Linked DNA regions of Drosophila melanogaster. The protein of the gene in region 3 interacts with the protein of the main gene of each other region in a pairwise test. Each region holds a gene or a part of one and is shown on either strand. Other genes may lie near its edges.

What was found. Proteins that work in one complex are often made in the same cells at the same time.
Region 1: the proteins of CG15293 (region 3) and CG7763 interact in a two-hybrid assay, tested with the Drosophila melanogaster proteins (one large-scale study listed by BioGRID).
Region 2: the proteins of CG15293 (region 3) and CG32425 interact in a two-hybrid assay, tested with the Drosophila melanogaster proteins (one large-scale study listed by BioGRID).

What each region holds. Positions count from the first base shown.
Region 1 is NT_033778.4:11,412,020-11,416,424, reverse strand, and holds CG7763 (uncharacterized protein), read right to left. Parts: upstream 1,916-4,405; 5' UTR 1,870-1,915; coding exon 1,801-1,869; intron 1,740-1,800; coding exon 1,110-1,739; 3' UTR 963-1,109; downstream 1-962. Other genes in the region: drip, read left to right, coding at 3,440-3,793, 3,851-3,997.
Region 2 is NT_037436.4:20,495,225-20,500,784, reverse strand, and holds the start of CG32425 (uncharacterized protein), read right to left. Parts: upstream 3,463-5,560; 5' UTR 3,360-3,462; exon of another isoform or gene 3,150-3,359; coding exon of another isoform or gene 2,321-3,149; intron 950-2,320; exon of another isoform or gene 914-949; coding exon of another isoform or gene 1-913. Other genes in the region: CG18281 (uncharacterized protein), read right to left, coding at 1-913; ND-39 (NADH dehydrogenase (ubiquinone) 39 kDa subunit), read right to left, coding at 3,800-4,193, 4,262-4,627, 4,710-5,160, 5,266-5,305.
Region 3 is NT_033779.5:14,106,939-14,111,814, reverse strand, and holds CG15293 (uncharacterized protein), read left to right. Parts: upstream 1-2,367; 5' UTR 2,368-2,563; coding exon 2,564-2,620; intron 2,621-2,674; coding exon 2,675-3,619; 3' UTR 3,620-3,758; downstream 3,759-4,876. Other genes in the region: CG31769 (uncharacterized protein), read left to right, coding at 1,130-1,183, 1,241-2,122.

The sequences.
Region 1 (4,405 bases), on a different chromosome or scaffold from region 3:
GCGACGTGGCGTCCTCCGGTAGCGGGTCGTTGTTTTATTAATTTAAATTAGGTCTTGGCGCAACATAGGTTTACATTTTTATTTTAGAAATTTTACACCTTTTATTGAATTATGCAATATTTGTTGCGCCCCGGGATGGGCGTAGTTCCCCCCGGCAGCGGGTAATTGCTATTTTATCATTTTATACACAGCTCACGCAGCACTTCTTTTTCATTTATGGATTTCAGATCTTAATCTGACTTATGCACACCACCACTATTTTTACGCACAAATTTCCACAATTTTTTCGTATCACTTTTATCGGCCGGACATTGCCGGTCCCTGCTCGGGCGCCAGTTAACGCAAGTTCCACTTGCATCAGGGTTCTCGGCACTCGCTGCCGCATACCTCACCTCGATATGACAACCAACATGCTGTGGTTCTCCAAATAATAGTCAAGATAGTTAAGAGGGTTCGAGTTTACGATTAGCTTTATTTTAAGATTCAGTTCGCGATCTGCTAGCGGTTCCGTTATGTGTCCGTTCGACACTGGGGCCTCTTCTCCCGCCCCGCTGCTTTTATATCCGCTTCCCCCGTTGACCCCTCACCCTGAGTGCGACCAACGGCACTTGTTCCGAATGCACACATACACAAACATGTTCCTAGACAGGCCCCGAGTCGCCTGCTGACGGGGCCCGAAAACACGAGAGCCGAGCGCTGGTGAGTCCTGACGAAGATCGCAAGAAGAGGGTTCGTAACTTACACGAACATGTTACTAGACAGGCCCCGAGTCGCCTGCTGACGGGGCCCGAAAACACGAGAGCCGAGCGCTGGTGAGTCCTGACGAAGAGCGCAAGAAGAGGGTTCTTAACTTATATATCTCGATCGGGGGAAGAGTCTTGCCAGACTTTTTGTAGCCAATGGAAAACCTTGAGAGCACGGAGAGTGCTGACACAAAATAATGAAATAGTGGTCAATTCATATAGGATTATATGTATATTCGTAAATAAAGTCTTATTCCAACTTGTTCGTTTTGAAATAAACATTATACTTATTTCCTCCATAAACCATGTGGTAAATGTCAGATATCAAAAACTAATATTAACTTCAAAGAGATAAATATTTTTGTATTATATTTCAATAGATTTTTCGCAAATAAAATAGAGATTGGCAAAACATGAGTTATCGTTCATGGTAGTTTTCCCATTGAATGTTCGGATATCCACACACTCTCCATCTTTTGTGGGTTCCCCATCGGCCCAACTCAAAAAATTGGCCTTCGATCCTTTGGTCACAGAAACGAATTCACTTTCGTTGAACTGATTGGTCACGTCGATCCAGTAGCGATTCAGGCCATTAAGTTGGTTATTGAATCTATCCAATTCCTCCTGACTTTGCAGACTGGCCAGATGGCCACCCATTTTGTGGCATTTATCCAAAGCATCGTGCCAGTTTAGCTTCTCTTCCTTTTCGATGTAGTAGTATTTGCTTCCCAGTTGTTGGAAAATTTCGTTTTCTTCCAGTTTTCTGCCCATTGCTGTACCGTGTGTCAGCAGTTGTTGCGAAGTATTTTGATTTTCCAGCTGCAAGTTCGTTGAAGTGCCAAAATTGTCCAGTCTTCGGTCATTTAGGGCTATTCTCGCTATTGCAACAGCTGCTTCACAGGCTTCAACCCTTCGTTGCAAATTGCCCATGCTCGCGATGCAGGGATTCAAGACACCGTAGCAATATGCAGCACATTGGGAATCGCTTTCAACGCCCTAAGAAGATATGTGAATGTAAATATTTAGCATTTCTAAACCACTTCTCTACTTCACTCACCTCGCAGGCTGCTGAATAACTTGAACTCAGACACAACGGGAGTACCAAAAATATAATAGATTTTTGCATTGCTGCGATTCTGAGATCTTTTAAATCCGAGTGCCAAAAACAGACTGACTTAAATGCTTCGAAACCAAGTATATTAGAAAGAAATCCAATAAAGAAAGAAACAGAAAATCTGACGCTGCATGATGATAAGAGATAGGTACTATGTACGACTTATCGCTCTGCACAGCATGTGGGTATAGTTATCTGCATACACAGAAAAACATAATGCAATTCATAATTCATAAAAATTAAAAATATATTTAACATTTTTTAATTAGATCGGCTTAGAACTAAAAAGTCACATAGTGTAATTAACCCATTCGAAATGCGTAATAAACTCGTAGCGTAATCACATAGGCCTAACTCGATTAGAGCCATATTTCATCGATGACTCACGTCTAAGTTCAGTCAGTCCGTCATTCGCGGTTTTCACACGCAGCCGGTCTGTCGATCTCGATTGCTTTCGTTGCATATATTAAATTTAATTATGGGTTTCGGGCTCGACAATAAATTTGATTAATTTCACGACTCTTCGAGTGTGTGCAGCTAAGACGAGTGGAGGCATTGAGTCGAGAACAATAGGCCTAAACTATTGTGGCTAAAAGCTTTAGATCCAAACGATTAGGTCAGGCTGAGTGGCGGCAGCAAAGGCGGCAACTTAGTCTTAGTATAGACGAAGTCGAAATTGCGCTGCACGCATGCGCATAACCAAAATGTCAAGAAGTTGTTCGAGTTGTAGTGGCTGCTCGGATTTGTGGCCTATTGCCGTTTGGGCCGCAAAACGCGACTCGAACTTGCTCTTGGCGGCATTTGTAATTAGCGTTTTGTGGCCGAACAGCCAACACACGGGCATTTTTTTTTGTTTTTTTCTTTTTTGCGCATTTATTAATTAAACGCACAGCGACGCACGACATTGGCCGTGCGTCCAATGCGAACTGCGAACCGCGAAATCCATATCGAAATCGAATTCGTATCACCAAAACGTAGAGAAACACGGCTGGAAAGAGATATCAAACATAGAAGCCTGCACATCGACCTTGGGCGCAGAGTGAACAGTGCATTTCGGGCTCCATTCATAACACTTGATCCAATCCAATCCAATCCAATACGATGCGATGCGATGCGAGGCGATCCGATCCAATGCGATTTCCATTTAAGTGATTCCATGTGATCTCTTCACGGGCAATGACTCAACAGAACCCCGAATCACTTTTACTTCCCAGCCAGCTCCACCTGAACTTTGCAGACACGCTAAACACAATAAATGCACTCGAGTGCATCTCACGTCTGACAAATTGCTTGTATCCGCTGGCAGTTCGATATGCAACGATATTGTGCAATGGAAAATTCGGAAAATCGCACAATCAGCTTCATGGCAAAGGGCAAACTTTGAGCGCAGCTATGGTTAAGATGTTGCGTTGTCAACTCGACATTTGCAAGCGCCGATGGAGGTGGAGATAGGCCATTATCTACATTATGTTCGACTGGGCCTTAGCCTCCTTGATTTGATCTTCATACTTTTTTTCCTCTTTTATTGAGCCTTATAATAAATATATTCTTGAATATCCTCTTATTTTGTTCTCTCTCTCAGGGCTTGGGCCACCTCAGTGGCTGTCACATTAATCCGGCGGTCACCCTTGGATTCCTGATCGTTGGTGAGATCAGCATTCTGAAGGCTGCCTTCTACATCATCGTCCAATGCGTGGGCGCCATTGCTGGAGCGGCTGTGATAAAGGTGGCACTCGATGGAGTGGCTGGTGGCGACCTGGGAGTATCCTCCTTTGATCCCTCCCTGAACTGTGCACAGGCGGTGCTGATCGAAGCGCTGATCACCTTTATTTTGGTTTTCGTGGTCAAGGCTGTTTCGGATCCTGGACGCCAGGATATCAAGGGATCAGCGCCACTGGCTGTTGGTTTGGCCATCGCCGCTGGCCATTTGTGTGCAGTGAGTACGAGGTGATGGAGTTCTCCGACTGGAGGTTAATAAGTGTACCATTTACAGATCAAACTGAGCGGTGCCAGCATGAATCCCGCCCGGTCCTTTGGTCCCGCCGTAGTGCAGGGCGTCTGGACCTATCACTGGGTTTACTGGGTGGGTCCCATTGCCGGCGGCCTGTTGGCCGGAATCATCTACAGATTAATCTTCAAGGTACGCAAGGGCGATGATGAGACCGACTCGTACGACTTCTAAACAGTGGCCGAATACCATATATGTATTTTTGTAAATGTCCGCACCTGCTTTCCATTCCCATCACACATTCGCTTTCCCATCGAATTCGTTTGCCGAAATTTCTCGTAGTTTAGGTTTGCTCCACCATCACAACCAAGCTGAATTTTCAACGCAATTTGTACCATTTTATTTTTTAAACAATAAGAAAGCAAATGTCTCGTTTAGTTGTACCGCGATGCCCCAGCACTTTAAAATATGCAATATTGTATTTGAGTAATTTTAAGCTAAATTATATGCACATCATCATTACGCGAATCGAAGGAAAACTGTATTGAAGCTTAACTAAATTGTACTGGGAAATCACTTTCCAAAGCAGCGAACAGGTGG
Region 2 (5,560 bases), on a different chromosome or scaffold from region 3:
TCACGAGCAGGTTCTTATCCTTACGACTTTTACGCAGCACTTCCCAAAGATCGGAAGAGTTTAGGGATCCATTATCAATTTTCTCCTTTTCAGTTAAATCATTCTGAAGGTTTTCCTCTTTGTTGAACTGTTGGCCCAGCTCTTTATTTGTGACTAGATTTTGTGATGTGCCGTGGTTGGATTTGTTCGCTGAAACGTGGTTATTCAATTTTTCTTCTCTGTTTAAGATCTCTTTCCTTTCCTTCGGGTTAATGTCCTCCATCTTGTTATCACTCTCTTCATCCAACATATTATTTTTTTCTTTTAAAACTAAACTCTCTGGCACCGCAAATATGATAAACATTATATTAATCAAGCCTGTGATGGCGGCAATCAAAATAACTGATGCGGACCCGTACGATTTCATCAAGTAATTCCCCAACGATGGTGAAAAGGCTATTCCTGCGCCAAAACTGGCCGCAACAATGCCATAGCCTTTTGAACGATTCTCCACAGTAGTTGTGTCTGCCACATAGGCCAATGAAGAGGAGTAAGTGCTGCCACAGATGGAGCTCACAGTGAGAATGGCGAAAAACCACCAACTCTTCAACATCATGAATGGAATTGGAGCGTAGGTGGTTGCCACTGCCAGTAGCATCACTACTTTCCGGCCATGAAAATCGGAAATGGCACCCATCACGGGCGTGGTCACAAATCCCAGGATTCCTCTAACTCCATAAACCAGTCCATCGACGAGAAGGACGCGATTCCCAAACGATCCCGACAATTTTTCGATGAAGGGAACGGTGAGAAGACCCCAGGAGAAGTAGTGCATAAACGTAACGATCACCGCGTGCCAAACACTTGCTTTTCCGATTCCAGAACGATTAACCAATACTTTCACCAGGGGTCTAAGAAACTTCAACTGCGCCATTTTTTAGTGTTCTGTCCGCGAACTGGCCAACGCCAGAATAGCCTGACAACTCCAGTTTAAATCCAATTTATACGCCTCAGTTTTATAGAAAATATAGTTATGGCTGCACTGTAAAAAACATGATACTCGAACTATACTACACTATTTTGTCGTTTAAAATATATATCGTTTAAACTAGAACTCCTCGCAGAAAGCAAAGAGATGTGTCAAAGAGATCGTAAGCAAAACGCAAATAAGAGAATTTAAAAGTTTGTTTTCAAAATAGCTGAAATTTTCACAAATATATTAACATTATTCATCCAAGCTATTAATAATAACAAACATTTCCCTCTCTTGTTAGTGAGAATAGAACCATAAGGTTCCGATTTACAAGCCAACAAGTAAAGCCATCTACTTTTAGAACTTTTTAAAGGTAAGCCATTAAAAATTATTTAACATATTTTCGTGTCTTAAAATATGGGTTGAGTATGCATGCCTAAACTTTCTATATGACTGTGAATAAATAGTGACATTTTTGCAAATCACAATCACAACTTAGAAGTGCGGATATGAGAATATTGTAAGTATACATATGTATACCAAACCGAAAAAGCACGCTTTAGTCGAGTTCTTCGACTATCACATACCCATTACATGGCTAGCAATGGAAAAACAAAAACAAATTTGTGAAGAAATTAATTCAAAATTGTGGACATGAAAGCTTTTTGCAGTTTGTTGCCGATACCAGTGGACGTGACCAAAATGTTCTCGTTTTGAGAAGTTCGATTTTAAAATCTAGCCAAGATCTAATCATTCTCAGCATACTCAAATCGAGATCAAACCATTCTCAGATTGCAAATGATTTTGCTTTCATTTGTCTTCCTCTCTTTTTTCAGACTCTTCGACAATCTTACACCCAATACTTCTTCCGAAAAATAAAAAATATAAACGTTGAGATCATTTTCGTCTCGAAACCAAGAAGGTTTATTTATTCACTGAGTACGCTGAGCGCAACCGACCTCTATTTTTTTGTTCTCAATTTTTCCGAGTGCAGGAAATGCTTACCTCCCCGCCCGTTTCGTACTTTTTATCTAGCCGATAATACTCTTTTAGTCTACAAGAAAAGGGTATAAATATATAAATACAAATCTCGCACTATTTGTCTGTATTAAATTATAAATTATAAAAATGTTTGGATATATTTCATACATATCGTTCGAGGGATAGCTTTTTATTATTGACTCATTTTATCTAATGAGTCATATCCCTTTAGGTTTGCAATATATTTTTTTTAGCATGCATAGTGATAGGCTTTTAAAACTTTGTTGCTTAAATTGCGTTATTTATTAAAGTAATAATTTGTAAATTATTGTGGAAATAAAGCCCGCTTGTTGTTTTTTTAACTTAATATCTTTAGATTAGACTCACCGGCCATAAGTTCGCTGTTTTGCTGATCCTGCAGCATTGGGATCACCGGCTCGCCGCCAGGTGGCGCATCTGGCATATCATCGGCCGTATGATCGTGACCGTGGGCGGTGGGGGCGTGGCCCTGGGTGGGCGGTGGCTCGGCAAAGAGCATCTCGAAGCGCAGCCGGGTCTTGATTGGACAGACCCTCAGCTGCTGTTGCTGTTGCACTTGTTCGAGCGGGCCACCGATCTCCAGGTGACGATATAGAGCATAAATTTCGGTTTTATGCTCGAAATGGCTCCAAGTGCCGTTATGGGCGGCGTATTTACCGTTGGCGTGATGGCAGCCTGCTTCTCTGACGTCACAGCAGCCGGCTGATTCAACAGCGACAATTTCGCTTTCGACGGCACCAAACTGGCGTAAATAATCTAAAAATAAGACGAGGTTTTTTTTCCTCTGTACACGGGGAGGCTGATGCCGCTTCTTCTTCTTGTTATTTGCCCTTTGCTTCTGCTGAAGCTGCTGCTTCTTCTTGCTATGTTCCCTTTCCTCTTGCTTTTTCTTCTTATCCTCCTCGCCTGCTAGATTCTCCTTCTTCTTACTACTCTTATCCTTTACCCCTTGCTTGTGACAGAGCTCCTCCTCTTTCCGTTCCGCGTGCAGTTGTTGTTGTTGTTGCTGCTGCTGCTTGTTTGACCTTTTCTTTTGGCCAAACTTTCTGCCCCCGTCGACGTCACAGCTGATCGATTTGCTGCACTCGCTCGGCGATTTATCCGCCTCCTGGCTTTGCCTGCTTTTTCGATTTTCCCAATTCACATTCGTCGTCGGCCGTGGGAATTCTGCTATCATAATTTGTATGCCACTTATGCCATAATTATCACACTCACTCTCACTCACACGCACAAAAACGCGAAAAGAGAGGCGGGCGCGCGCTTGTGTTGTTGTTGATATATTCTTTTTTCACCGCTTAACCAAGCTGAAAAGTTGAAAATCTTTACACACACCAAAAACACACACACACACAGACTCAGAAAACTTGGGAAATCGAATTTTCCGTACTATGATTTTCCGGCCATAAATCTGCACGGGCGTAAGTTTCGGAGGAAACTGCTGCAGAAAAGCTCCTGGTCGCAAAGGAAGAAAAATCGGACGGGCGAAGCGTTGCCAGACGATGACAGCGATTTCATTTGTTTTGATTTAGTTGCCGGAGCGATGTCACCTCAATAAGATACCGAAAAATACCAAAGGTATTTCGAGCTGCCAATCTTTTTTCCGACATCAAACTTTTCTAGCCATTTGACTTTTTTTTCAAAAGTATTTATAAATTTTTTTATATTTAAATGCACGAAATAAATACATATATCAATGTCTATATAATATTTGGAAATATAAGTTTCCTTCGTTGTCATTGGGTCTTTCGACTTCTCTTTATTGACGCATCGCCTTAAACAATTCCAACTAAAAATTTCCAATCAACACAGACAGCTACTTCGCTCCGCTTAGGCAAACAGACGCAGTTCATCGCGCGCCTCGATGCACTTGGGCGGCGAGGGAGTCTCGAACTCGCCCAGCTCGGCGTCGTAGTAGAGGGCGGCGCGGTAGGGACGCAGCTCCCATGGCACCTGCTGCTCCATTGTGGTCAGCGTGACGCCCAAATCCTCAAGCGTGGGGACACCAGTCAGAACCTTGTCGGTGACAGCCTCGCGTTCGATGCGAGCGGGATGCAGACCGCCAATCGGGGTGCCGGGGCAGATGAAGCTGTTCAGCTTGGCTTTCAGCAGGAAGGTGGGGTCCCAGCGCATGTCGTAGCGCATGTAGCCCCAGCGCTTCTGGTCCTTGCGCATCAGGCGGTGGAACCAGTCGACCAGCTCGCTCAACTGATAGCGTTTAGGTCTGCAGAGAATAAAGGAAATTAAGAAAATGTACATGGTACAAATACTTGGACTCGGAGATTGACTTACCCCACAGCCTGGTAGATGCGGCCAGCGCTGTCCGGATCCTTGGCGGCGTTGATGATGGCCTGGGCCACGTCCGAAACGTAGACGGGCTGCTTGACGGTCTTCTCTCCCTTGTGCCACAGCGGCATCGAGCGGAACTGACGGCGCCAGATGTGGGCGTAGTAGCGCAAGAAGCGATCCTCGGATCCGTAGATATCCGCAGGGCGGATGATCGTGGCGTTGGGAAAGGCGTCGCGTACGCGAAGCTCACCCTCGTACTTGCTTTTCAGCCACTCGCTGCCGCCCTTGACGTACAGATCCTTGGGATTGGCCTCCACGTTCAAAGAGGACAGGTGGATTAAGCGCTCCACGCCAGCCTCGCGCGCAATCCTGAAGAAATAAAAGTGGTTTACGTCATGCAAAGTTAGAATGAAGAAGTGGGCAGGCAAATAATGCTGGCTATGATGTTCACCTAGCGATCCTCTCCGCTCCGTTGACATGGACATCCTTGAACTTGAAGTTCTTGGTCTCGAAGTCCCTGCCCACCAGGTTGATGACCACGTTCGAGTGCTTGACTGCGTCACGAATGGAGGCGGGATCCTCCAGGTTGTAGAAGTGAAAGAGTACCTGGCCAAGATCACCGGTGACCTTAAGACGGATAACATCCGAATCGTCACCGCGATAGGGCAGGATCATCTGGGTGCCAGATTTGCCCAGTTTGTTGCAGACATAGCGGCCCACGAAACCGGTGGCACCGAAAACGGTCGCCACGATCCCATTGAAACTGCTACGTCCGCCAGTTCCGCGCTTCATGGCAGCCGGATTGGTGGTCTTCAGTGGACGTGGACCATCTTCCGGCGGCGCAGCAGCGGCGGAATATCCACGCAGGCACAAAACTCCAACCACGCCACTGCCGTGGTGCTCTAAGTATCCGGAATTGGACAGAGAATGAGCCAAAAGTTAGCCACAAACATCGTATTACATAATTGGATTGCCTGGCGGTTTTCGACCGCAGGCACGGTACTCACTGGCCAGCTGGAGATTACGGGTTAGTACTATGGCGGCCATTTCGCACCGGCACACTGGACCAACTCGATTCGGTTAATTTACGCTTAAAATCCTATTTTATTTCGGAACAGGCCAGTTTTTTATTTTGCCCCACGACAGTGTGACCGTGGCGTAGCAATTGGAATATACTAGAATTGACAGGTTGATATCAAAAACTACCGTCAAACAAAGCTGCCAGACTGAAGAAAAACATTTGATTTGGAAAGTAACAGTTTTTTCTATAGTTTTTAAAAAGCCCTGTTAACCTAAAGTTAA
Region 3 (4,876 bases):
GGCGTCTTTTTAGCGTAAATCCTGCATGGCCATGACTGAAGTCCGGTCCCGCTGTTGCACCATTCAGCGACCGTTGCTGGACCGTGACCTCCCAGCTCCCGAGTCTACATAATTCCATCCTATCAGTGGAGCTACATCTTCAATATCCTATCTTCGTCACCCATACTTGGGCACATTCCTACCGAACACCAAAGGACCTAGAGGTACACTTTTATTTTGTTCATGCCGCAATAACATGTCGTTCATTTTAACGGCTATTTGGAACTTCACTTGATAGAAAGTTTTGATTTTCGCAGTATTTTGCTGCTGATTACACTAGGAAACAGTAATATATAATATTGATATTTTTTCTATGTTTTATGTTTTCATCTTTCCTTTTAGCTATAAAATAATATGTGTAATCAGTAAGGCCATTCACGGAAGTGAACTGTTTGGAATCAAAAAAACCAAACTAGTTGAATCATTGCTCACCGCTATCAATAGCTTGGGATTACACTTGCAATAAAGAAATTCAAAGCTCTGTAACTAAAATTTTATTGGCGGTGATGAGCAATTTGCATTCCCGGGTATACCCAACATGTTTTATTGTGAATTTTTAGATTATGAATACTCATTAAATGTCAATTTAAGGCGCACTCTCAAGCTTAAAAACCCGCAGTACTGAACTATTCCTAATGGCTGAGTAGAAACATATAGTTGGATGATGAGTTTTTAAGGCTGAGAGCGGAGTGACTTGTTTTTCAAGTGAAAAGCACAATTTAGACTGCAAAAACCGGTCTTTTCCGCTGGCAAATGGCAGACAACAATTCTCAGTTCTCATACGTGATAAGCTTACATTATTTATGAATAATTTTTTTATTTTAATACGAGCGAAGTTTTGAGTTTTGTAAATTTATTAATATGTATCCGCATTTAAAGGGAAAAAAGCTTAAAGTTCCTTTCAAGATGGCTTCATTCTCTGCGTAAACAGCTGTATACGTGACTCTAAGAATAAATCTAAATATATACTATATATATATATATACATACAGCGCGATTAGTATCGATCGTCAATTGTGCGCTATGCGGAATCAAGTTCAGTTTCAACTAGGTACTCGAAGCGGTCGCATGTTCCGGTTTAAAACAAAGAATGAATTTCGAAAGTCATCTGATTGTTTGCATTAGTTTGCTTCTTCAATTACGGGTAACTAACTTAATATCCCAAACATACAAAAAATATTACTATTTTTCCCATTTGCAGATGGGAGCAACTATGCCTATGGAACGGCCACTCCCCCCCTCTGTGTATGCACAGGCTAGGCATTGGAACGTGCTTGAAACAGTCGTAAATAATATGCGGATCACTAAAAGGCCGTGGATAGTTACAAAAACTAAACCGTGCGGTGAGGTGATTAGGGAAACCTACATGTTGAGCCCCAACGAAGAGGAACTCATAAGGAGAACGGAAGTCATGCTCTTGCAAGCTCAAGGAAAATTGGAATGTTTACTTAGCCAGTTTCAACCGACATTACGACTTGGCAGTGTCTACAATAATCCCTTTCTAAACCCGGTCGGTTTTGGTTTTCCTGACTATAACGTCTTCCAAAATTTTCCGTTTATCCCGGAATTTAAGCCGCAACGTATTCCTCCCGAAGAAGATCGCAGTAATGAAAATAATCCTCGCCGAGAAGATCCGCGGGTAAATGAGCAGGATGCGTGGAATTTACGCCCTCAAGACGTCCCCAAAGAAAATGAACACATTCCCAATAGTGAATCGGATAGTGATAGATGGCTGCCAAATCCAACATCCACACACCGGCCTATCGTAACTTTGCCTACCCTGGCACCCCCAAACTTGAAGGATACGGAGCCCATATGGGTTCCAGTCCCAGAACCAACATCAACCGAGCGAAGTTCGGTCCCGCTGCCCACGCTCGCACCCAAAGGCGACGGAACTGACTCGACAATCGATGACTTTTTGGCAAAGGTGGATCTCACTGTCGCGGACATCAAAGAGGAGGATGGCCAGGTGGTCACCACAATCGTGGACAAACAAGGACGCGTTCTAAGTGCCAGTTTTGCACTGAGCAATGAGAACGAACAAGGGGGTGCGGCAAACTATCAAAGTCGCACTGGAAAATGATATACATAAATAAAGAGATATGTGAACAAGAAAAGCTCAATTTAAATTAACAGAAAAGTTTAGTATAAATAATATAAATAAATCTATGTTTACCGCATTGAACCTTCTTGTAGTGGCAATATAAGTATTGAAAACTTATATAGTAGTTTCTTGTTCATTACAGTATGATTCAACTTCTAAACGCAATTTAACAAAGTGAATTTCCAGGATCCAGAAGCAATTTGTTATAAGAAACTTATGAAGAAACTACAATATGTTTTTATGAAAGCTTTGGGAAACGCATTCTGTTAACACTCTTTGATAATGGCGACTTTGCGAAAACTGTTGATAACCTTTGAGTAGACACTGCGAATAGAAGCGACGAGGTCAGTCGATTAGAATTCTAAAATCAGTTCGATTCTGTCGATCGAAGTATTCACAAGTGTCGCGGAAAGATCGAATATGCAGTACTCCTATCTACTGGCAATCTGTGTCAGCTTGCTGCTTCTGAAGCTGAAGGTAGGTCATGGAAATCTCCAGAAATCTGAAACTGACGTCATCTTTCGCTCACAGGGAGCAGCTGCCACTTCTTTATCCGCCGAACCGACTCCGGAACTTTTGAATGCGGCCAAGCAAATAGGTTTAGATGAAGTTGGCTTGCGAGAAATGTGGCACAGCCAGCAGCCGCTGGTTATCAGAACTCAAAACGATGCTGGTCAAGTCACCACTTTGACCTATGAGTTAGGTCCGGATTTCAGATCGATTTTAAGACGCAAGGTCTCAGAGGGAATACTGCCTGCTAGGCTAGAGGATAATTCAGGCTCTAAGCCCCAGCAAGATTGGGAGTATGTGCCGAGTGCCGGTCGTCAGTTCCGTCCCATTGGAGATTCCAACTTCGGTACAGGTAATTTCGAGACAAAGATATTTAGCACTGAATTTCCGAGATTTCCGAATTGGGAGCTGCCAGCGGGAGTTACTCCGAAAGTTACAACCAAGACGGAAACGGATAGCTCGGGACGCAAGGTGACCACCACAACTAGAACTTATAGCGGCATTCTGGTCCCAGGCAGTAATGTATTCAAGCAGATATTCCCCGACATCTCCAGAGAGCCTGGTCCAATTAACACAGACTCAAACCATCCAGCCGAGAATCCTAACACCTCAGTCTTTTCCCCATCTCGTTCCCCATCTACTGGACCTATTGATTTCAACTATGTATATAATTCCCGACCAAGCCAAAGGGAACCCGTCTTTGTGCCAGTGATTGACTCAACCACCACGCAGCGGACTTCAGTTCCCCGGTTCAGTTCAGCATTACCAAGAGACGACGGATCAGATCGAGTCATAGATGATTATTTGAAACAAGTGAATCTGAGTGCCTCAGAAATTGAGAATTCGAATGGTGAAGTGGTCAAGACTATTGTGGATAAGAATGGCAGAATTCTAACTGCCAGATTTGTTCTAAGCTCAGTCAAAGGAACCAACGAAGGATCTCAGCAGCAGAGGCCGACCAAGTAAATAGCTCATTATAAATATTAATATATGGAAATCATCGCAATATTTTGTAAACAATGCTTAGCGCAGTTTAATAAATAAGCTTATCAGCCTGGGCTAAACCCAGAAATTGTAATAAAATTTCTAAATCAATCTATCACTGAAATATAACCTTTATATATGTAGGTGGGAATTTGATAAGGGTGTCTGATTTGATACATAACTTTCAGTTTAATCGAAATGGAATGGAAAATATTGTACAAACTTACCTGCTTATATATATATATATATATATTGGCAAATTTAAATATACATATGTTAGCAACTACAAAGCGCTCTAAATTATTCAAAAACTACTCGCATACATGTGTACATTTTGGGAAATTAATAATTCTTTATTTTCAGATCGTTGGCCAAATTAATTAAAAAGCATTAATAGTTTTGTATAGCTAATTTATTACAAACATTTTTTTTGTTTTCGCTAACAACTGAGCTGTAAAAAATAAAAGAAAGGAAAAATATAATTGGGATAATAAAAAAATCAACGAAATAATATAAAATAATAACATTTGGAAACTAAGCATGATAAACAAAACATTTCAGCAAGGGAAAAAAATACTTGCAGTCAAAAATAATTCAAGCATTAGGAGATCAAAATTATAAATATATAAAAAACGCAGCGCGGAACGAGAAATTCAATTGGAATTTCACGGCAAACTGATTAAAGCACGTCGAAAAAAACTATTGCATAATTTTGTGCGCAGCTCAGTGCAAAACGCATTTGGTGGCCGAAAGCAATGTGTTGGTCATGGGTGATTCGGTTGCAGTTCTTTGTAGTTGTGTGGCTGACAGCCTGGTGGTAGTTGTTCGGCTGACAAAAGTGCATTTCTGTCATTGTCTTTCTCGCTCGTTAGCATTGCATTAGTTGGGTTACATTTATAAGCCAAGCATGTCAGAGAAAAAAGAAACTAGATTAGTAAAAAAATGTTGTTTTATCGAGTGGAAATGGTGTGGAAATCGTGGTAAAAGCATTTTTTCTTAAGTCTAAATATGCGGGTTAAAGCCAAAAAAGCAAATAATAGTTGCGCATTGGCCTTTAGGCGTAAAACATATGTAAAATTCAACTACGCATAAAATATGTTACAAAAAGCATTAATATTTGAACAATTTCGGTGAGTCCTTTGTATGATTCTTTTACAGAATAAATATGTAGGTGTATAAATTTGTAAATTTTTTTTTATGAGATATTGTAATAAAGGTTTCACATCGCCAGCGGCTTTC